Linked DNA regions of Schizosaccharomyces pombe. The protein of the gene in region 3 interacts with the protein of the main gene of each other region in a pairwise test. Each region holds a gene or a part of one and is shown on either strand. Other genes may lie near its edges.

The links. Proteins that work in one complex are often made in the same cells at the same time.
Region 1: the proteins of spk1 (region 3) and ifs1 interact in a two-hybrid assay, tested with the Schizosaccharomyces pombe proteins (one large-scale study listed by BioGRID).
Region 2: the proteins of spk1 (region 3) and sin1 interact in a two-hybrid assay, tested with the Schizosaccharomyces pombe proteins (one large-scale study listed by BioGRID).

The regions. Positions count from the first base shown.
Region 1 is NC_003424.3:5,382,512-5,389,302, forward strand, and holds ifs1 (Maf-like protein Ifs1), read right to left. Parts: upstream 2,750-6,791; 5' UTR 2,643-2,749; coding exon 2,499-2,642; exon of another isoform or gene 2,248-2,498; coding exon 2,119-2,247; exon of another isoform or gene 2,020-2,118; coding exon 1,696-2,019; exon of another isoform or gene 1,573-1,695; coding exon 1,444-1,572; 3' UTR 1,194-1,443; downstream 1-1,193. Other genes in the region: CHD family chromatin remodeller Hrp3, read left to right, coding at 1-139; proteasome receptor/ubiquitin ligase adaptor Dss1, read left to right, coding at 582-612, 719-760, 801-943; RNA-binding protein Rnp24, read left to right, coding at 3,372-4,481; SPOM_SPAC3G6.05 (Mpv17/PMP22 family protein 1), read left to right, coding at 6,075-6,452, 6,509-6,580, 6,645-6,742.
Region 2 is NC_003424.3:4,744,829-4,752,486, reverse strand, and holds sin1 (MAP kinase-interacting protein Sin1), read left to right. Parts: upstream 1-4,059; 5' UTR 4,060-4,198; coding exon 4,199-4,221; intron 4,222-4,264; exon of another isoform or gene 4,265-4,280; coding exon 4,281-6,164; exon of another isoform or gene 6,165-6,203; coding exon 6,204-6,294; 3' UTR 6,295-6,387; downstream 6,388-7,658. Other genes in the region: DNA-directed RNA polymerase II complex TFIIS subunit Rpb9, read left to right, coding at 155-195, 263-329, 453-502, 545-677, 753-803; mid2 (septin ring organizing protein), read left to right, coding at 1,228-3,348; transcription factor TFIIE subunit Tfa1, read right to left, coding at 6,388-7,347, 7,476-7,617. UniProt on the Schizosaccharomyces pombe protein: Component of the mechanistic target of rapamycin complex 2 (mTORC2), which regulates multiple cellular processes to control cell growth in response to environmental signals.
Region 3 is NC_003424.3:2,997,668-3,005,652, forward strand, and holds spk1 (MAP kinase Spk1), read right to left. Parts: upstream 3,852-7,985; 5' UTR 3,302-3,851; coding exon 2,183-3,301; 3' UTR 2,177-2,182; downstream 1-2,176. Other genes in the region: tetraspan protein, claudin Dni1, read left to right, coding at 1-490; hem4 (uroporphyrinogen-III synthase Ups), read left to right, coding at 1,421-2,176; RNA polymerase I termination factor, Myb family Eta2, read left to right, coding at 4,390-6,099. UniProt on the Schizosaccharomyces pombe protein: Involved in mating signal transduction pathway.

The DNA of each region.
Region 1 (6,791 bases), 2.4 Mb from region 3:
TGAAAAAACTGTCAATGATACACCCTCCGAAGAAAAAGCTACTGTTAGGAAGAATTTATGGATGTTTGCATGTTACTTTTGGCCGAAGGAGGAGGTTAAATATACCAGCTTGATCAGCATGTATGAAAAGATGAAGTAGATTTTAGCCTGTCATACAAAAGCCAATTTGTTTCTTCATTTTTCATCCGGAATATTTTAGGTTTGAAGCTCGAATATGTTTATCTTTTACAGTCTTCAATTTTGATTGCTACATTTCAAAGATCACTAAATTCTAGTCTAAAAATCGTTTCTTATTGTACCTTTAATTATAATGTTAATAAACCCTGCATTTCAAATCTTGACTTTAGGAAATCCTCCGGTATTCAGAACATAGAGTCAGCATAGATAAGAATAATCCAGTAATACAATTTGTTTTTAATTGAAATATCAATGGCAAACTGCTATTTATTAGTCTGCAACTTTATGCAGTTTGTAAATATAATAGTGTAACTCAGTAGACATCGTTACCAGTGAAAAGTTCATTCAAACATCACAGTACGGCAGGGTTCACCTTTCACACCAAATCACGTTTATAAATTAGAATGTCTCGTGCGGCCTTACCAAGCTTAGAAAGTACGTTACAAATTATTTAGAGTGGCTTTCGAGTACTATTTATTCGATATGCTAATGTCTATGATTTTTTCGTTGGCCTAAAGACGTTTACTAACATAATGCTTAGACCTTGAGGATGATGATGAGTTTGAAGATTTCGCAACAGAAAGTAAGTACTTTTAAAGAAATAATTATTTAACATCAAAAAGATTGGCCTATGAAAGATACAGAGCTTGATACTGGAGATGATACGCTATGGGAAAACAATTGGGACGATGAGGACATTGGAGACGATGATTTTTCTGTTCAATTACAAGCAGAGTTAAAAAAGAAGGGTGTTGCCGCCAATTAAGATATTGCTTCTGCCAGAGTGTATATCTCCGAAACTGCCTTCATCCCTCAGTATAATTTTAATGCATTAACAAAACGATCGAATACAGGTTCTTTCATGACTCTAAGGTTTTGCTGGTTCTGTAAATACGGTGCAGATAGATATTCTTGTGTTGAAGATTTTTACGTTTAAAGAACTTCAACTTGTCCATATCTGTAAATTAGGTCTATGATACTTATATACGCCTGAATTGATTATATTCTAACAATTACCGGCGAAACGGTACTGCCTGTATATGCGAAATGAAGATAAGCTAGAAAATGTAAAACCTATTTGCATTACTATAGACAATAGCAACCCATGATTGTTCAAATGATGATCATTTCAAATGGTCAAAAGAAGAGACGCGTAGTTAATATGTAAAGGAATTTAAACAAAAACATTGAAGTGTATGAGGCAAAGATGAAGGTGCCTGGGAAAATGAAACGCAATTGTCATGAACTTAATTTCTTAGAAGATTCTTAATCGTAATTATCAGCATCTCCTTGTTCTAAGGCTTCTTCCATCAACTTGAAAGTAGCGCGGATAGGCAAGCCTACAACATTGGAAAAGTCACCTATGATAGACTCAATCAATAAGGCGCCGTGACCCTAAACTTAGTCAGCAAAGTCATGCGTAAAAATTTAAAAAAAACAAAAAATGCTATAATTCATTATTTGAAAGCACGCACGGTTCAGGCACTTCCATCACCCTAAAAACAGCCAAAAACATACCTGTATAGCATAGCCTCCGGCTTTATCTGAACCTTCGCCACAACGAACATAAGCTTCGAGAAATTCGTCAGTTATGGAAGGGTCAAACTTCACCTGAGTTTCTTCAAGGTGTGTTTTCATAACATAACCTGGATGAATAGGCACTTCCATAGGCACAATAACACTGACAGCAGTAAATACTTTATGGGGTGTTTTAGAATTTCTGAGCTTTTTCAGCATGGCAAGGTGATGCTTGGGATCGTTGGGCTTCTCCATAATCTCAGAATCCAAAATCAATATAGTATCGGCGGATACAACTATGTCTGGTGAATCTTCTTCGGCGGCCTAAGTAGAAAAAATGCGTTAATATAGAAAAACAAGACAACTTTAGAGACTTCAGTGTGAAACTCTCTGTAAAGAAAAATTTAAATTAAACATCCATACCAGTTTCTCATAAACTGCAATCGCTTTCTGTACCGAAGTGTCAGCAGCATATTCCCAAGGAGTTATGTACATAGATTTATTTAAATCTTCGGGGAATCCGGAAACGCAGGTTTCAACATTAGGAAATCCCTATTTTAAATCAACATTAGTTTACGAACACGACCAAACGAATGAAATTAAGAGACGAACTCCAAAACTTCTAAGTAACACAAAACAGAGAATCATAAATAAGAATAATTTATTAAGATACAACACAATTTTTACGGGCAATGCTTCATGGAAAATATAATAACGACAGCAATTGATACTTTTTTTAGGAAGCAATTGCTTGGGTAGATTACATGATTCAAAAAATTGTCTCCATTTTTTATTTTTCTTACCATCTGTTCAAATAACTGCTTTCTGCGAGGGGATCCTGAAGCCAAAATAATCCTTTTATCTTTTAATTGACGGTGCATTGACGTTTCCAAAGTAAAATGAGAATCGTAAGAAGGAGGAGACGTATCCATTTTTTCGTTGCTCATTTTGAAAATATAAAGAAGTAAACTTTGAAAAATGATTTGAACTCAACAAATTTAACTCAAAGTTGTTTTTTGCAAATTTTGTGTTTCTTTTTCTATTACCAATAGGTACGGATGCAACGAAGCACATAAACATTTAATAGTGACATACAATAGGACCCCATATCTTTCGAGCTCGCTATATTGTACAGTCAAAGGTATTAAAAAAATGTGAATTGTATACGAGTAAAAAAAAAAATCAGGACCGATTTTAATGTGAAGAGAAGCTTTGAAAGAGATTTTTCGCATGTATTATGGCGTTGGTAGCTTCTGCAGTCATTTTTTTAAGCACGGTCTAATGACCTTCCTTTATTTCATTTTGTAAACATCAAACATAATAAATCTAAGCAAAATTGCATATTGAAATAAATCACCATACCGCAAGCAGCACGCAAGTGTATTCGGGAGTAAATTGTTTAATCTTTGGCATCATCGTAACTATTGCAATATATTATAATATAAAATAAATGAGTATATGATGTTTATAATATCAATTTTAAATCATATTATGGAGGTATGTGAATCGCTAGTAAAGCCTCTTACCTATATAGATTTTGCATCCTTATCCATTTTATTAACAATATTCTTACAAATTTGGAGACCTAACAGATTGAGATTTGTATAAGTCTTCTCCATTATTTAAACTAAGTTTTGAGAAAAAGAAAATTTTTAGCTTTTGGAAATTGCTTGCTAATGGAACCAATTCAAAAAATGGACTCCTTAAATAATAAGGAAGGTCAACCTGACAAAAAAAGAAAAAAGCATGAGTCAGAAAAGGAGGGTGAAAATGAAGTTCTCGAAATTGATGTAACAAAACCCGTTCCCCCTTCTAAGAAGTTGATGCGAAAGCTTAGAAAGGCTGGTAAAATTGACAAAGACGGAAATTGGACACCTGAAGCTCTTGAAGAAGCTAAAAAGAAAGAAGAGAAGAGATTGAAACGGCTGGATGCTAAATATGGTAGGAAAGAGGAAGGTGAATCACAAGAAGAGAGCAAAAGATCACCATGGGGTATTTGGGTGGGTAATTTAAGTTTTCATACAACGAAGGAAATTTTAACAGACTTTTTTGTTCGGGAGACAAGTGAAATGATAAAGGAAGTATCTGAAGAAAATATTAAACCCATTACAACCGAACAAATTACTCGTATACACATGCCCATGTCGAAAGAAAAAAGATTCCAAAACAAAGGTTTTGCATATGTTGACTTTGCTACTGAAGATGCGCTTAAGCTAGCTCTTCAATGTTCCGAAAAGGCTCTCAATGGTAGAAACATCTTGATCAAGTCGAATACAGATTTTTCTGGGAGACCAAGCAAGCCAGCAAACACTCTTTCCAAAACTGCATCTATACAATCATCTAAGAAGGAGCCTTCCTCGATCCTTTTCGTTGGCAACTTGGATTTTGAAACCACTGATGCCGACTTAAAGGAGCACTTTGGTCAAGTTGGCCAAATTCGACGTGTTCGCTTGATGACCTTTGAGGATACGGGCAAATGTAAAGGCTTTGGATTTGTTGATTTTCCAGACATTGACACATGTATGAAAGCTATGGAACTTGGCCATAATAGTTGGCGGTTAGAATACGGAGAAGATCGGTCTAAAAGGATGAGGAACAAGTCCCCAATGGCTCGCTCTGGTCGATTTAATGATGCTGAATCTTTAGGTCAAGAGGACAAACCAAACTTCAAGAGAGCTAGGAAGATTGACCCGCGTTCTGTCCGTCCCGGTGCAGCATTAGCGAAGGCTCAGCGATCCTCCGCTGCTATTGTTGAGCCAGCTGGCCAAAAAATTAAATTTGATTAATATAACTTATGAAGGAATACTCGATTACGTTCGTTTTTAGAAAAAACTATTTTGGGTCAGGGCATATTAATATAAAATATTTTTCATTTATTGTCTTAGTTTTTAATTAGCAATGCTATATTTACATATTACTCATCGTATCACATATATTGATACTTATTGCATTAGTATTTATGAGTGTGGATAAGCTTTTGAGTAGGAAGGTAAACTAGAGAAATACTATCTCCTTTTGTGGCTGTTGTTTATGATGGCATCTTTGCCCATATTAATTATCTAAAGCAACTAAAAAGACCATGAACTAATAATGACCACCAGTCACTTATTTTCCATGGCCTTGCTTTTTTTGTTTACGAATTTAACAGTCACATTTACTGATTGGATTAGTAATTTGAATTTTTTATTCGTTATATCTTTTAACAACCTAATATCCCATTTACTAGTATAAATAGGCGGCGCCCTCGTAAACTCCACCAACACCATAAGATTTAGTCATTCATTGTCTGAATATAAATAGGTTAATATTGATGGTATGTCGAATCCTAAGTTGCAAATAAAAGCAAGCCTTTTACCATGATGATTTTCTTCGTTAAACCCAGCTCACTCGGAGTATTTACATTGACGAGTACGCGAAGTTTTTATTTATCTGAACATTGCTATTGCACAGAACTTTTTTATTTGAAACGTATGCTAACCTTTAATAGAAAAGTATTAGCATATTTATAAATCTTCATTAATAAATTATATAAACATTAGTCTTGCTTATACGATTAGCTTGTCTGAATTTTCGTTTATGGTAGCTTCCACACGTTGTTTTGTACTTTTAGTTTAGGCATGTAGTGTCTTCTAGTAAAAAATATAGACTTATTCACAACGATGCAGTTTAAGTAAGTTCGTTTATTACTGTTTAATTCCAATAAGAATCCTAAAAATTTCAAATTCGGGCGTGGGAAATGTTTTGGGCGCTAAGACTATTGATCTGCTATGATTGTCTTGTTTCGTCTTCTTTGTTCATTTGGGAGCTTGTTTCCTGCTTCAAGAGACAACGGACGTCAATTTTTGTTGTATAATGCTGTTTTTTTGCTACAAAAAATTCTTGAAGCAGAGAACTAGTTTGACTACAATTTCACCCACGGGCCCGCTTCTTCAATAAACGAATTTTCAATTGTAGATGTACAGTGATGCTATAGATCTCACAGTGAGATAATATTAGTATAAATAGATGACTGCAGAAGGTGTGGATGATTCTGTTACAATTTCATAAGTGCTACAGTGTGAGTGTAGAGCAACACTGAACCTTGACAATTTTATAAATAAAAAAAATTGATTTTTCGCAACTATTAAAATCTAAACCAGGGAAAACATAAAGCGTTGACCGAACATTTATATACTTCACTATTACGTTTACGAATCTGCTTTCTACCAACACTTCTCGCAATTCCATAGTTTACATCAATTTGTGATATAAACTAAAAGAAACTAGAAGTTTTGATCCTAAAAAGGAAATTTGAAAATAAAATTTATTATTTATACTAGCATTGGGTCGTTAGATTTTGAATTGCTTTTGATTGAGTTTTTTGTCCCTCATTATCCATTATGTTTAGTCGTTTTGCAACCCGCTATAACGCTCTTTTTGAAAAGGCGCCGATTATGACTATGTGTCTAACTGCTGGTACACTGGGTGGAATATCCGATGCTGTCGCCCAAGGCTTGACCATATACCAAACAAACAAAAATGCGATGATTGGTTTGGATGGCGTGAGATTAAACACTCATCCTGAAATACCTAGTATTAAAAGGGTTCTTCAATTTGTTACTTTTGGTTTTGCTATTTCTCCATTTCAATTTCGGTGGTTGCGTTTGCTATCTGCTAAGTTCCCAATAGAGAAAGGCGCTATTAATGTCGTGAAGCGTGTGTTATTGGATCAAGCTGTTTTTGCTCCATTCGGTACTGCCTTTTTTTTCAGTTGGATGGTAAGTAAAAATTAACTTGCATGTTTATGTATATCAATACTAACACTAAACCGCAGACTCTTGCTGAGGGCAAAGGTTTCAGGGGCGCCTACGATAAACTTCAAGCTGTTTTCTGGCCCACTTTAAAGGTACACTTAATTTCTAAATTTTCTTTCTTAAATGGTTCTGTTGTATTGTTGCTAACATTTAAAGGCTAATTATATGGTCTGGCCCTTCTTTCAAACTGTGAACTTTTGGCTAATGCCCTTACAATACCAAATGCCATTTGCTTGTACGGTTGCTATTTTTTGGTATGTTGTTTCCAAGAGACATAAAGCATTTTTGCTCCTAGTTTTTTCG
Region 2 (7,658 bases), 1.7 Mb from region 3:
TAGAGACGTTGTAGATAAACAAAAGCTTTTTCGAACTTATAGATGTGAACCATCAGGACGCTGTTGTCCACTGTATTTTCCATATCCACTAACCACCACGTTCTTTTGAAAGTTTATTGCGTTGAAGTAAAATACTTTTGTTTGCTTTTTTAAAATGTCAAATTTTCAATATTGTATAGAATGCAATAATATGCTGTACGGATTAGTTTCTCAAAAAGATGACACTGAAAATTGTTTGAAAACACTAACATGAAATAAATAGGTACCCTAGAGAGGATAAAGTGGATCGTGTTCTGAGGCTAGCTTGTCGTAATTGTGATTACTCAGAGGTAAGCTTGTTTTTTTCTCCTACTGGGTTTATTCACTTCAAGAAAAAAATTCGAAGTTCTTTTCGATTACTTTTTTCCTCATCATTTGGAAGTTTTAAATATCTCATCAGCTAATTTGTATAGATCGCTGCTACTAGTAAAGTTTATCGCCATGAGTTACAAAGCTCCAATGTGTAAGTTAGATTTCATCCTTCGAATAATCACTAAATTTGTAGAGAAAACACGACGGTCAGTCACGACGCTTCAACGGACCCTACTTTACCTAGATCAGACAAAGAATGCCCGCGTTGTCATCAACATGAAGCAGTTTTTTATCAGACTCATTCTCGTCGGGGTGATACTATGATGGTGTGTTTCGCATTGTTTCATTGAGAAAACAATTTTAATATTTAGGTTTAAAAACAATTTTACTGACTTAATTAGACTCTGATTTATGTTTGCGTACATTGTGGATTTGCTTTTGAAGAACAGTAATATGCGACAATTCGGTCTAACAAGGGATTGTAAAACTAGCTGCGTCCACCAATGGCTCTTAGACTTCGGTTTAAATGATCCGCTTGATGTAACCACTCTCTCGCTTCTGTGCTGGAAAACTGGATTTTCGAGTGATACCAGCCACCTTTGCCGAAAATGGATTTACCAGCCTCTCAATCATATGCTCGCCTCCTTCCTTTATATTAAGCAACGCGCCTACCAAAACACTTGAATTTCTTTATTTCACATTCGGTGTACCTTCTGGAATATACTGAAACTGTTTCAGTTATTTGTATACAATAATCCATACGGAATAGCCTTGTAATCCGAATACCAATTAAATAAAAACCCTTAATTCTTTGTGCCTTTATTTTTTTTTATATTCTAATTTCAGCAGAGCTGTTAAATTCCAAGGCTTTCCATAATGTTGATGACTGCTTCTCAACAGGATCAGCATGCTAAAATGTATTTAGCTGACATCCATAGAGCATTGAGAATTCCTTCTCCCATCCCAAGTACTGATTACGAATGTTCTGACTATGCCTCTACAATCGCATCGATATCTCGAGAAAGTACAATGAGAAATTTTAATCGCAGTAACATCTCGTCTACGGCCCCTTCTTTTGCTGAATCTGAGGATGCTGAAGATGGCGATAGTTTCCCTTATGATCAAACGTTATCAAATTCTTCCAGTTTTGATGATCATCAGTCTCTTCTTCCTTTTTCTACAGAAGTTCGTAGGACCCCAACTTACTCTGTCATGAATGAAACGGATAGTAGTAGTACAAGTGTTGAAGACGTAAACAAAGAGAACATACTGTCATTGAACGATTCATGTTTGATCAAATTATCTGATGATGAGGCTTCAAATAAAAGCAGTCGTAGCTCGACTCCACGCAACTCGATAAAGAGTAATTCATCTAACCAGGGCCATGGCGACATACCAATTCCTAAAAAAAATCCTGCTCGTTCCGTTTGTAATTCAAAGCTTTTTAACGAGGACACATTGCCAGCTGAATTTGAAGAAGTTTCAATTTCACCACCTGTCAAACTTGAGTTACCTACTCACTCTCATAATTCATCTGACACTAGTTTTACGAACAGTATAGTTAGCAGTGTTAGTGACATGGTTGGTCTTGGCGAAGGTATAAACAGTATTGCATCTTTTGGTTTCTCTGAAGATTCGTCCTCGTTCCAAGATATAAAGACACCTCCTCGCTTATCATTCGCAGATGAGAACCGAGAGAATTGTAGGACTGATATCTACCGTTCAGATTCTATTCATGAATACGAAGAGCCACTTACGAGCTCCATCACCTCTTTAGATTCCCCTCATGTTCTTGACGAAAATGCTCCGATACCGCTTCTTCCAAAAGTGGTTTCTTTACCAGATCCTCGCTTTACAAATGTTCTTTCAGCCTTTGACGCTTTGACTAGGACATATTTGCTACGACAGAATTCTAAAGTTGTACATGCCACTAGTCAGAAACAAGAAATGCAAACTTCGCGGCGCGTTGTCAATTCTTGTTATATGCCAGAATCGTTATCGCGAAATTTGTCCAGTAGTTTGCAACAAACCGGCGGGAGTGGAAGATTGTTTGTCCGTCTTATGGAAATCAGAAACTTAACTATTCCTTTGGCATCGGGGATGACCACTAGGTTCACTTATACAATCTCTGGTAAGCACATTCAAGTACCATGGAACGCCTTACACTCTACTACTAAAATTGAAAATGAGTATACTTTTGATGAAAGTATTAGTTCTTCAATTGTATGTACGCTCCGTGCGGCTTACGATCCACCTAAGGTTCGCACTCGTTCTACACTTGGAAAAGTATTTTCAACAAATAAGAGAAAGTCTATGACTACCGACCCCGTTTCAGAAGCACTTCATGGATTTGTTTCTGAAGATGGAACTTTCGGCGAAGTTACCATTAACACTGATTCTGTAAGCCGAACCGCACTAGGCCGTTGTCAATCTATGGTTCTACCAATCATGAACAAATGGACTGTTGATCCGGCAGCTAAAGATGTCAAGCCTCTCCCTCGAAAAGTAGGAGAACTCGAAATCCACGTATTTTTCTTACCAGCGCTTCCTGTCTCTCTGAAAGAACTTCCCGCTTCAATCGAGTCTGCCATGTATGACTTAAAGCTTGCTGAATGGGATAGAACTTTATTGTGTGATGGTTATCTATGTCAACAAGGTGGGGATTGCCCTTATTGGCGTCGTCGCTATTTTCAATTAATAGGATCAAAGTTAGTAGCTTTTCAACAATTCTCTAAAGTTCGCAGAGCAACGATTGATTTGTCTGAAGCCACACATATCGTGGATGACAACCATTATAGTGATGAAGAAGAACTAGAAGGGTATCTGTATTTCGAATCGGGTTTCCGTATCATTTTCAGTAATGGGGACTACATCGATTTTTACGCTGAAACCGTCGGCGAAAAAGATGAGTGGATGTCTACACTTCGTCAGCATTTGGGGCAATGTTCAATGGTTCACAAAAATTGGACCAAATCATTTCTTTCGCTGAGTTTTTAAATTGACCATTTGCTTCGACCTCACTTTTTCTATTTAAATCACATTTGGTCTTTATCTTCTCCTTTATCTATATCGTCTTGCATTTTTCATTGGTTTTGTTGTTTCCCTCGCATAATACATAATGTTCATTTTATCTACCATCGAGAAGCTAGATTCGGTTGAAATGAGCTCGTTTTATATAAGCTGTTAAAAATCGGATAGCAATTACTTACTACTCCCCATGTATATTTATACTTCAGTTGCAAAATACTTCATTTTTGAAAGTTTCCCTTGATCCGAAGAAACGTTGTCAAAATAAGTTGTCTCAAAACGTTTATCTTGGCTTTGTAAATAAATCAAATTCCTTAAAATACTCTAGCTTGGCGTTGTCGAGTGAATTTATTAAGTCGTAAGCTTGCCATTTGAGAAACTTCAAAAAATAAAAATTCCACAATAATTTAATTACATTATTCTGTAAATAATTAATACCGTAATTGCTATATAGTTCAAATACCATTTTTAGCTGTTTCGCAATATCTAAAACGTATATGAGATCACTTTTTTTCATTGTCTAGCGTTTTTGTACTTCAGTTAATAACTGTTTGAATTAATAGTTTCGTTCATATTTTGCTGTCTTTTGAAATTTGGTGGTACTTTACGGTGTTACCCCCAACACTTAATTAAATGCTTAGCGGGGGATACATAGCAACTGAAATAAAGCACGCGGCGTCCGTCACCAACGTTTCACATAATTGAGTTTACAAATTTTCTATATTAAGGTGCCATAAAAAGTATGGTCGCTAAGTATTCAAACTTCGTTGAAATTAAATATTTTATAAAGTCTGTAAATGCGATATAATAAGGACTCAGAATGGAATTAACAAGAGAGAAAGTGTAAGGATACTATTTTTTTTCCTATGAAACTTATACAAACTAATACGTTTATTTTACAGTCTTTTGTTAACATTTTTGCGAATGCAATATTCTCATATACTTCCTGACTCAATCGAAAATCGAGTTATATCTACTGAGGCCCCGGAATGGGAATTGGACAAATCATTGCAAGACTTGTTGATTCATGATTATGATTATTCTAAAACTTCGTTTTCTTCAAGTCCCCCGATTGTCGCTAATGACACTGTATCCAATGTCCGAAAGCCGAGTGATACTAAACAAGTAAATGGTGCTGGGGGTCAAGTTAATCATTCTCGAGCTGAAGATTCTGATTATGCTACTTCTGACTTATCCGAATCTTCAGATGTGGGTGATGACGATAACTCGTGTATATTTTCTTTTAGCAAAGTCCCAATGCAGAAGGATGTTGCAAGTATAAAAGAAGAGGAAAGACTGGACCCCAAAATTTCCACATTAAATAATATTGATGCTATCGCAAATCTTAAGCTTACCAACATGGTAGAATCCTCGCAGGCAGTGAATTTAACCTCGTCCAAACAGTCTTCCATAAACCAGCAAAGCAGTGTTTCTACGGATTATGATGATCTACGGTCGATTTCTGAGGAATCATTTCATTTAAGTCAAGGAGAAATTCCTCTTACTTTTCCAATGAATTCTTCCTTAACTGACACTGAAGCTGATGCAGTTGTTGCGGTTGATGCTCTTTTTCCTGGTAAGCAACGCGGAACACACAATACAGTCAATAAAGCAAGATCTGTTTCGAACGCAAAGGCTCCTACATCTGCTCTTCGTGCATTACTTGAACATAAAGAAAACAGTAGCCAGAATGGGCCATTGGCTGAAAATTTTGCTACTTTTTCTGGACATGCAGAATCAAATGCCCTCCGTTTAAACATTTATTTTCCTTCGAGCGAAAGTCCTTCAAAGCCCTTATTTGTAGAACTCCGAAAGAATGTTTTGGTCTCTGAGGCTATCGGTTATATTTTACTTCAATACGTTAACCAGCAACTCGTGCCCCCAATAGAAGATGAGGCTCAAAATCCGAATTATTGGAATTTACGTATTGTTGAAGATGACGGGGAGCTAGATGAAGATTTTCCCGCTTTGGACCGTGTAGGTCCATTATCAAAATTTGGTTTTGACGCATTTGCTTTAGTTAAAGCCACTCCTGCCCAAATAAAGGAAAATCAAGCTGCCTACCCGTTTAAATCGAAGCATCCAACATCAATTCCTGAAGCCAATAACAAAACGCATATTCGGCATACTAGTTCAACTTCAAGTCAATCACAAAAGCAAGCTCAGGATGTCAAAGATACACTTAATACTTCTCATGTCGTACAGGTACGACTTCCCCCATACGGGGATAATGCTCGATTTTGCAATATTGAAATATCAAAAACTACTAGATTGGCTATGGTGTTGAACCAGGTGTGTTGGATGAAGCAATTGGAGCGATTTAAGTATACTCTGCGAGTTGCTGGATCTGATACTGTTTTACCACTTGATAAAACATTTAGTTCACTAGACGGAAATCCAACTCTAGAACTTGTTAAAAAGAAGGTACGCGATAAAAAAGGAAGTACCCAACAATTGCCAACCTCCTCACCACAAAATTCCGTTTATGGATCTATTAAGAAAGATGCACAATCTTCAACATACAATGCAACAGATATTATGTCGAGCAATACCTATCAAGAATTTCTTGTATGGAAACGACAACCTGTTTCATTTATGGGAAGACATGAGCGTCTACTAGCTATTGATGGAGAATACGTTCACATAATGCCGTCTGAATCCAAAAATATATTTGAAACGCCTAAGACGTCCAGTATACATGCTGGATCGATTATTTTATGCAAGCAGTCTAAAAAATCACCATGTAATTTTAAAATGATTGTGTCCAAGAATAGGGAAACTAAGCGGTAAGAAATTTTTTAACGCTAATAAGCTAACGAGTTCAGGTATGATTTTGAAGTTTTGTCCGCCTTGGAAGCTGCCATTATAGTTAGCAGGATACGTGCACTGATGAATACTGTTAAAAAAATAAATTAACATTTATTTATTACAAAAAGATTCTATGAATACATAGGTATAAACACCTTTGTTTTTTGGTATCACATTGCTCTCTCCCCTATGTCATTTTTATTAAACATCTTCAAAATCAGCTTCATCTTCATCGTCTTCATCGTCCTCATTAAATCCATTAATAATAACATTCTTTTTACTTTCTTGCATTTCCGTATCACCATCAGTAATACCATTTGTAGAAACAATAGGTGGTAATGAATTGTTTTCTTCTATCGATTTTGTTCTTTTATTTTGGATATCACTATCTGAATTTAGGTTCTCGGTTTTACGCTTGACCGACCCATAATCAGTACTTTTGTTTTGAAGAGAGGTAGCCGTCGTAACGTCTAAGAAGTCATCATCCTCCTCATCATCTACGTTTTCACTGTCCATAAACTCGCTTTCCTCTTTTTGCTTTGCACGAAGTGTTGCGTAATAAGCATCTAAGGCGCTCTTTTCAGAAGTAATATCTGTTTTAGTGTCTTGAACCTCATTAACAGTTTCAGTTCTAAAACTATGAAGTGCGGCATCTTTAGCTCCAGCACGAGTAATGGAGCCAGAAATTGTTGATGTTGCATGCCATTCGGGAAGAATGTTTTGAGCAGCTTTGACTTGCTTGTCGCAATTCCTTTCACGCTTTTCATCAGTCTCTTTATCAGCAGAGAAATCAACTGTAATAGATGGCGAAGAGGTGGAAAGACGGACGTCTGAATTACTTTTTGACAAGTTTTGTTGCGACAAATTTTGGGTGTCTAACGAAACAGGAACCGCATGTTCTAAAGCAGATTGGAAATTGTTTTGTGGTACGACAATTTCATCCACCCTTTTCAATGCATCGATTATACCATTAACTTGTCCCATCAGTTTTCCTAGCCTTTTCTGACTAGACATCATTTCTGCACTCTCCTCATCGTCTTTGAGTTCGGTTCCACAAACGTTACAAGCAAAAGTTCCCTCGTTGGTCACCAAAGACAAAACGTCAAGGCTAGAAAACTTTTTGTTGCAAAATGGACAAACATAGCCTTTAGAATCGAAATCCTGCTAAGTTAGTGAAAGTGACGATAATAAGAGATTCGTAAAAGTAGTGGGTAAAACACTAAGCAAAAAGAAGGAAACAATATGGTAAACCTTTTATGAAAAAAGGCCCAATTAAAAAAGGAACTTACATTTCGCATTCGATCTTCTACTGTTTTCACTAATTGGTGCATACGCCATTTAATGCTGTCAATCGTAGAACAGAAATCGATATAGAAATAGGTTGTATGATATTGCCTTTGTTGGCCTTCCTTCATTTCCGTCCTACTTTGACTGAAAGGTTAGCAGCTGGTCATGGAATTGCCTTCACGTAC
Region 3 (7,985 bases):
TACTGGTTGTCCTGGGTTGACTTCCATTAGCTTAACGGATGTAAGGTCTAAATTTCTAATCAATGAAGTTCACCCTTGGATGATTGTCTTTTCATTTTGCGTATGCGGTGTTTCATTTCTTATGGGTGTTGTTTCCAGCCTTCCCTTAATAGGGCGTTTGGAATTCCTGAGAAACATTCGTATAAGCCTTTCTTTTTTCTCCTTTTTTAGTATACTAGTAACTGCTTTGTTTGCTCACGTTGCTGTCTCCTCTTTTGTGATGGCTGTTGGAAATGGAACACAAAATCGAGTTACTGCATCTCTAGGCAAAAAGGCTATGATCTTTTTATGGTGTTCTATGGGACTTGTGACATTAACAGGTATCACGGATTCTATTATTCTTTTGGTTACTTCAAGAACCAAGAAGATTCGTAAGACGATACTGGAAAAAAGCAAAGTCCTTACCCCTAGTTCATCCTTTTCTAGCAAATCCTCAACAACAAAGTATTAAATTATGCGCCTCAACTATTATTGTTTTGAGAAGATATGACCTTTCTCACCTTGTTATATTACATTATGGCAACTGTATTCATCTGTACTTGTTTTTTGTTTTTACGTTTTTTCACGTTCCGCTTTTTTTATGATTTTCTTAACGCCTCTTTTTACGATTAATCTCATCTTGGTTTATTTATGTATATGTTTTCACACTGCACTTTACTTCATTTCTCTTTTGCACTCATTTCTACTTACCGCACTTGAAACTTTCATGTCAAAAGCTCATATATTCAAGTCAAGATAAAGCTGTTTAATATTTCATTATCAATGACTAATATCGATTAAAACAATCATATACATTCTCTTTCCATAGTCTTTTTATTTAGAACCTATATACATACGCATCTTTACAAATTATACATTCTTCAATTGATTTTTTGCATAAATCTGATCAACTGTATACTTCTGTAACAGTTTTTTCGTATCTTACAATCGTAGCTGATAGAAAGAAATTAAAAGAGATATTAAATGATTTCTGCCTTGATTATTATTCAGTAAAGCAATTACACACTCTAACTCCCTTTTGCGTTAGTTCCTACCATCAATAAACGAAATTTTTGTAATGATAGATCAACCCTATACTTCGGAGTAGAATGTAGCGTCTTAAGCATAATGATGAATGTTGATCAGATACTTTTAAACTATCGTTTACCGTTTTTCCAGAAGCATTTCATTTTTTAAAAAATTTGTCAACCGATGACGGTATTTATTTTTTACGAAATTTGAGTTAAGTTAATGATTTGATTAGCGATGTGGAAAGATGCATGTTTGTTCCATCTGCCAAATTGTGCTACTGCTCACTGGTCAGAATAAGCGTAGAATAGGTTGAGGAACTAGATGACACTGTAATTATTTTTTTACATTTCTCAAATTGTAAAGACAAAGCATGAAAACTGCTTTGCTATTGAAAACCAAATCACAGCCTTTCGATCCATATGTGGAGGCCTTTGAAAAATATGGAAGAGATACAGCCTTCATTCCTGTGCTGAGACACAAAAGGGTTCACGAAGAACAGCTTAGAGATAAATTAAAAAACGTTCGTAAAACTTATTGTGGTTTAATCGTTACCAGTCAACGAGTTAGCGAAACTCTGGATGAAGCATTAAAACAAGAAGATGAAACGGAGAGGCAGAAAATATTGATGGAAACACCAATATTTACAGTAGGTCCGGCGACTGATGATAGTATTCGACGTCTCGGTTTTCAGCAAACACATGGAAAGGACTGTGGAAGGGGTGAGGTTTTGGCAGATTTAATTGAAGAGTGGTATACTACGACTAAACAACATAAGCCCTTACTTTTCCTTGTAGGGGAAAAGCATAGGGATATAATTCAAAGAAAACTGGGGGACGACAGAGTAGATTCATTAATCGTATATGCTACGCAAGAATTAGAAAATACAGAAACCCAAATAAAGGATACGATTAGAAAACATCCTACAATTGATTGGATTGTCGCATTCAGTCCGACATCCATTTGCTCTTTATTAAACACATTTGAATTAAAGATCGCAACCATTGGACCTACTACTGGAGATTATCTAAAGAAGCTGGGAACTCAACCGAACGTTGTATCTCCAGCACCTAATCCAGAGAGCTTGGCATCCAGCATAGTTGCCTTTGATGAGGAGAATTCTAGTTGAAGCTTTTTATCTGAAATTTACTTCACGAAATATTAAGGCCTTCAATACCGGTATTTCGAGATCTTCTTTGTTACAGTATAAATCGACGAGGTTGGGAGGCATGGGGGATGCTGTAGGCTCATCACTGGCATCATGATAAGCAGCTACATACGGGTGCTTTAGAGCCTCTTCTGCAGTTATACGCTTATCAGGATTAAATGTCAGTAATTTTTCTAAAAGGTCAATAGCATCTGGTGATGCCTGAGGAAAGAGTGCTTTGAATGATACTTTAGGAGTAAATGGAAGACTTTTAATATATTTCCTCGCACGTGCAGATTTAATTCTTGAAAAATCGTCCATAGTAGGCGTTCCTAGAATGTTAAGGATTAAAGTAATTTGACTATGATAGTCCTTTCCTGGGAACAATGGTCGAGCAGAAAGCATCTCAGCAAGTATACAACCAGTACTCCATAAATCAATAGCTTTGCTGTATTCTCGGAAACTCAGCATAATTTCCGGTGCTCGATACCAACGAGTTGCGACATACTCAGTCATAAAGCCAGGATTTCCGCCTTGAGCTGTGGTGGAACGTGCCAAACCGAAATCGGCAACTTTGAGATCACAATTGGCATTTAGTAGTAAGTTTGATGGCTTCAGGTCTCTATGAACAACTCCAGCACTATGCATGGCTTTCAGAGCGCGCAAAATTTGATACGTAAAGTATTGACAATGATCATCGCTTAAGGGCTGCGAACGTATAACACGGTACAAATCCGTTTCCATAAGCTCTTGTACAATATAAACATCTTCCAATTCCTGGTAGCTCGGTGGTGGAAGGATGTCTAGAATTGAAATTATATTTTCATGACGAAAATGTCTGAGTAACTTGATTTCCCTTAAAGTTCTTAGACAAAACACAGGATGATTGAAAGGATGTATTTTTTTAACAGCCACCTTTAGGCCGCTGGGTTTGTGAAGCGCGGCACATACAACTCCATAAGCACCTTGACCGATGAGATTGATCATTTCGTATTCCTCTGGTAGCTCAAAGTTTAGATCATGCGTGTGTGGGCTTCGACTTGTAGCTACTGACTCCTTGTTGGAATTCCCATCCGCAATAGTAGGCGTGGAAGTAGCGCTCGCCATTAGACTACAAATTGAAAAACTTGAAAGAAATGAAGCGATATGAATAGATAAATAGAATTAAAAAGAATTACAACGTTCTTTGTAATAAATTATGTTATGCAATCCTTTGTGCTTTAAATCCGACAATATTGAAAAAAGTCGGTTTGCCAGCCAAAGACAGAAATAGACAAGGATGTATTAGAAATCCCTTTATCAAATTAGTTTAGTATTAAATTAAATAATGCGAAAGAAGGACGTTCGGCAGCACTTCAAAAACAGGCGCTAGCAACAATAATACAAATATTAGGTTGCAAGCTTATAAAATATAGGAATAACAAAAGAAATAGAAAATATACAAAAATCGTAAAAGGGAAGAATTTCAAAAAACCAGACAAATGTATCTTCGCAATTGAGATTAAAGGCCCACAATGGTTATTCAATAAAAAAATGATGCTTCAAATATTGCCAAGCAAAGATGCCTTGAGGGAATTGCAAAAGCGTCCTTCAAAACCGTCTCTAGCAATTTCTCAATTGCCCTTCCAAAACTGTTGAAAAGCTGTTGGTAATTGTTAAGTAGTGTGGTTGGACTAGTCAACATTTATAACTTACAATAACAAAGAAAGTTTCTTTGTTAATGTATTGCCCCAGAAACTTCATAGATACGAATCTTTAGACAGAATAAAGAAACGATGAGTGACATGAAATCAAAAAAGTAACACACATTTTAAGTGCGCGACGCGTCGCGCATATTCTTTGTTTACACTAACTTACAAACCTTCCATCTACCACGACAGAAATTAAAGGCAAAGAAATGCAATATTTTAAGACTATCTAAATCGAAATAATTAATTTACAAGGTAAGCAGAAACAATTGGTTATGCAAGGATATTTGAATGGGTTCTTGAAGAGGTTGAACAGAAACCGTATGATGGTTGTTTAATTTTATGTTCTCGTAATAATAATCTTATGAAAGTTTAAAAAGCATGAAAAAAAATAGATAAATCCGTTGAAACTCTCAAACAAAAATAGTTAAACATTCATAAATTTCCCTTGGCGTCCTTACTTCATCATGAATTGGCTAACCCGTTATTAGAAGGCATTGTAAATTAATGATGTTAGCTATCGACATGACAATAAATGAAAACCAGGGAACACGCTCAAATTTGGAAAGTCCTACACTTTCATGTAGCAGTAAGGGTGCAATGCAAGAAAGAGACGTTATGTTTACAGATCACAATACCTTCAATATCACTAATAATAAATCTCGGCCTGGAAGTTTAATGAAATCTATGAAAAGAAAAGATGTTTACGAATTTGATGAAGATAATGAGTTTGAGTTTGAAATGGGGTCACTTATACATAAGCCTTCACGTGCTCACTCCTTAGGAGGAACTAGTGAGCCTGTGTCAGATGACCATAAAGATTGTATGGAAGCTACACGACAGTTATTGGAAAATAGTCCACTTTCCTCTGTCGTTGTCAAAACATGTAGTGATCATGCATCAAAGCGTAAAATTGCGCGATCCTCTTCTGACGATTCTGAAAGCAAAGTTGAAAGCACAAACTCTTTCAATGCAAAGAAAAGAAAGGATGCATGGACAGAGGAGCATGAAAAGTGGTTTCAAGCAAGGATTGATGAATTGTTAACGATTCGGTCTATATCACGGGAGCAAATGATCGAGATATTGGAAGACGAACATGCTGGGAGTCGACTTCAAGGGTTTTTAGAGTCAGTAGCATCTTTTCTGAATCGAAAAGAAAATAGTTTACTAAAGTACATGCGTGCTTTTTTTCAAGTCGCCGGTTACGAAAAGATAGACATTGGAAGCTTGGCTGCTGAAGAGGATTCGCAACTTAATTTTTCTCTAGAAGACGCACAAGTGATTCAAAAAGTAGTTTTGTCTTATTGTAATAATGAAGGCGTAGATTTACAAGAGTTTGGCTTCCGGATGAGTTCTTCAAGCTTAAGACATACAAATATCAACTTTCTATACAACGAACTACGCGAATTGCTGCCTACTTCTATTTCAAGAAAAGGAATTATTCGTTATTTGAAGGAAATCTACAAGCCGTTGGATCCGAAAGATAGGAATGCATGGGAGGAAAGTGAGCTAAAAAAGCTGTACACCCTAGTTGAACAAGAGGGAACGCGGTGGAACAGCATAGCGAACAAACTGGGAACGTCACCTGCCGCGTGCATGAGTCAATGGAGGTTTGTTGTAGGTACTAGTACTCAGGAAACAATTGATCGGCGCAAATTATGGACGAATGAAGAGGAAGCAAAGCTATTAGACTTGGTAAAGTCTTCTTACCGGTCGTCTTTTCACACAAAAAAAATGACAAGCCTTTTCACACACAATAATCACACTACTTCAAACATACAACGGGAAATACCGGCATCTGATTCCATTGCATGGCATAGCATATCGAAGAAGCTTGGGACTAAGTCGCCGGAAAGCTGTCGAAAACAGTACGAAAAAACAATCGCATCTTATTCTTCTAACCAACGTCAAGAGGAGGATCAAGGGAAGAAAAGGAAGAAGAGAAAAAAGAAGAAATCAAAGGGTAAACGCAAATTTTACGTCGCGGATAGTTTAAAACTACTAGAACATGTACAAAGGCAATGCGGAGAAGCAATCTCCATAAATGCCATTGATTGGAAAGGCATTGTCAAGCAAATGCCAAAATGGTCCGAGGAGGAATTGAGAGCGCAAGCCACAAATTTGGTAGCGAGTGTTCGCGGCTGGAAAAAGACACGTTTAAGTGAGAGTGTGAGAATCGCAATTACAGATTTGAAAAGTCTTCCTCCTGACGTATAATAACAAATATTGCAGACGAAACGTTAATAAGTGCGCAAGAAAAAATAGTCAAAAAATATCTTTTTTGCTGGTATGTCACGTTTGCCCAGGTCATATTGAATGTTTTTCTTGGCTGTCTCAATTTTCCCACACAATATAATGATATTTCTCATCTCTTTTTGCGACAGGGGCGAAAATAGTTGGACTGCACTTCAAGAGCAACCGAACCCGTCTACCTGCAAAACGTACCTACACAAGAATTCTGCAGCATTAAAGTTTATATGGCAGAGCAATGGAGAAGAAGAGTGAGTCACCTGGTTCCTCTCCACATACTGGATACTGTTGATTTAGGTTCATTTGCGAACCCATCAATCATTTTACTTCTCGACATACTGTTGCCAATCTAAATTACTTTCTTTTCATACTTGTTCCAATTGCTGGTTACCTGATATCCTCTCTCGTCTACCTTAATCCGATTAAGTGCGATGTATTTGCAACATGCACGTGTGCATTGTAACCAGCCTCATTCCGAGCCTTTCCGCTTATTTATTTATTAAATTTTTAATGTATATTCGTTATTTAATTAATATCTAAGCATGGATCGTATGGTTACTAACTTATTTCTTACTTCATCCCTGATAATGACGGATAATAGATGCAAAAATGAATGGTTTGGTGGTGGCCAACGAAACAATCGACACTGCTACGGCTCTACTAAAACAAGTCACGTTCAACGGTTCATCGGCTAATATTAACTCAAAAAAAAAAAAGAATAAAATAAGTATAGTTCGGGGTCCGAGATTTCTTTGATAGTCCCTTGGACATTCTATTTTAGCATTTCAACTAACAACTGAAAGGGCCGGAAAATCTTTGAAATTTTTAAATCTGTTTAACTCATCCCAAAGTAATTGAGTGTCGGAAAAGAAATGGCCCGAACGGTTTTATGAACCGGTCCCTACTAAAGAATAACAAAATTCAAATATTGGAAAGGCAGGTTTTGGTTTTGAACGCAGTTGTTGGATTGAAAATATATTCCATTGTACTTTGTACTTGATAATCAAAGTAATCTTGTTGTTGATCATTAAAGGCGTATCAACAGTGTTGGGGAAAAAGTTTACCTTGAATCTTATCTAGCAGCGGAAACTAAATAATTATATTTATTAAATTGTTAGACCAGCCTAAAACTATCGGGATTAGCGTTGGGTAAGGGATTTACGGAATATTTACCGTATTAGGTTTTTTTTGAGTTTTAAAAATTTAACTCGCTAACATAACCGAAGCCTCGCACATATAAACTATCTTTCAACCTACTTGACTCAACTTTTCCTTCACCAACCGCAGTGTTGCATTAAGCAGCAAAACGTTGTCACCTTCGAATAGCGTCTTTTTGACGAATAAAAAGGTTGGACAACAAAATTAAATTAAGCAAATTTGTGTATAAACTAACAGCAAGTGAAGTTGTACCGGTTGTATGATTGAAGCATTGTAAACCAAAGAACAGCTACTTTGCCTTGTCGTACATTAGCTTTTTCCTTTGCAAAGAACTTTTAGGGACCTTTTTTTACCACAACTAGAGAACCGGTGTAGAAAGGTGTTCTATTTTAGTGAACGGATTCGTTTAATTTTTTCATTGAGAAAAAAATTTGATCTATCTTGATTTTTTCGACTGTTTCCATTTTTAACTATTTGTGACGTTTCTTATTGCCAAATTTCAACCTTGAGCATTGTTAAAAAAGCTGAATTTAAATTTCTTTGCTTTTAACATACAAGTGAGCTATTGGGTTTGTAAAGATTTAATACTTGATTGGAAGTTTTTTTGGTCAAGTCTGTTTTTTTTGGGTGTTTTTTTGACGATCAGTTGAAACCGCGAATAATAATATTTATTATAACTCCCTAAAAAAAGAAAG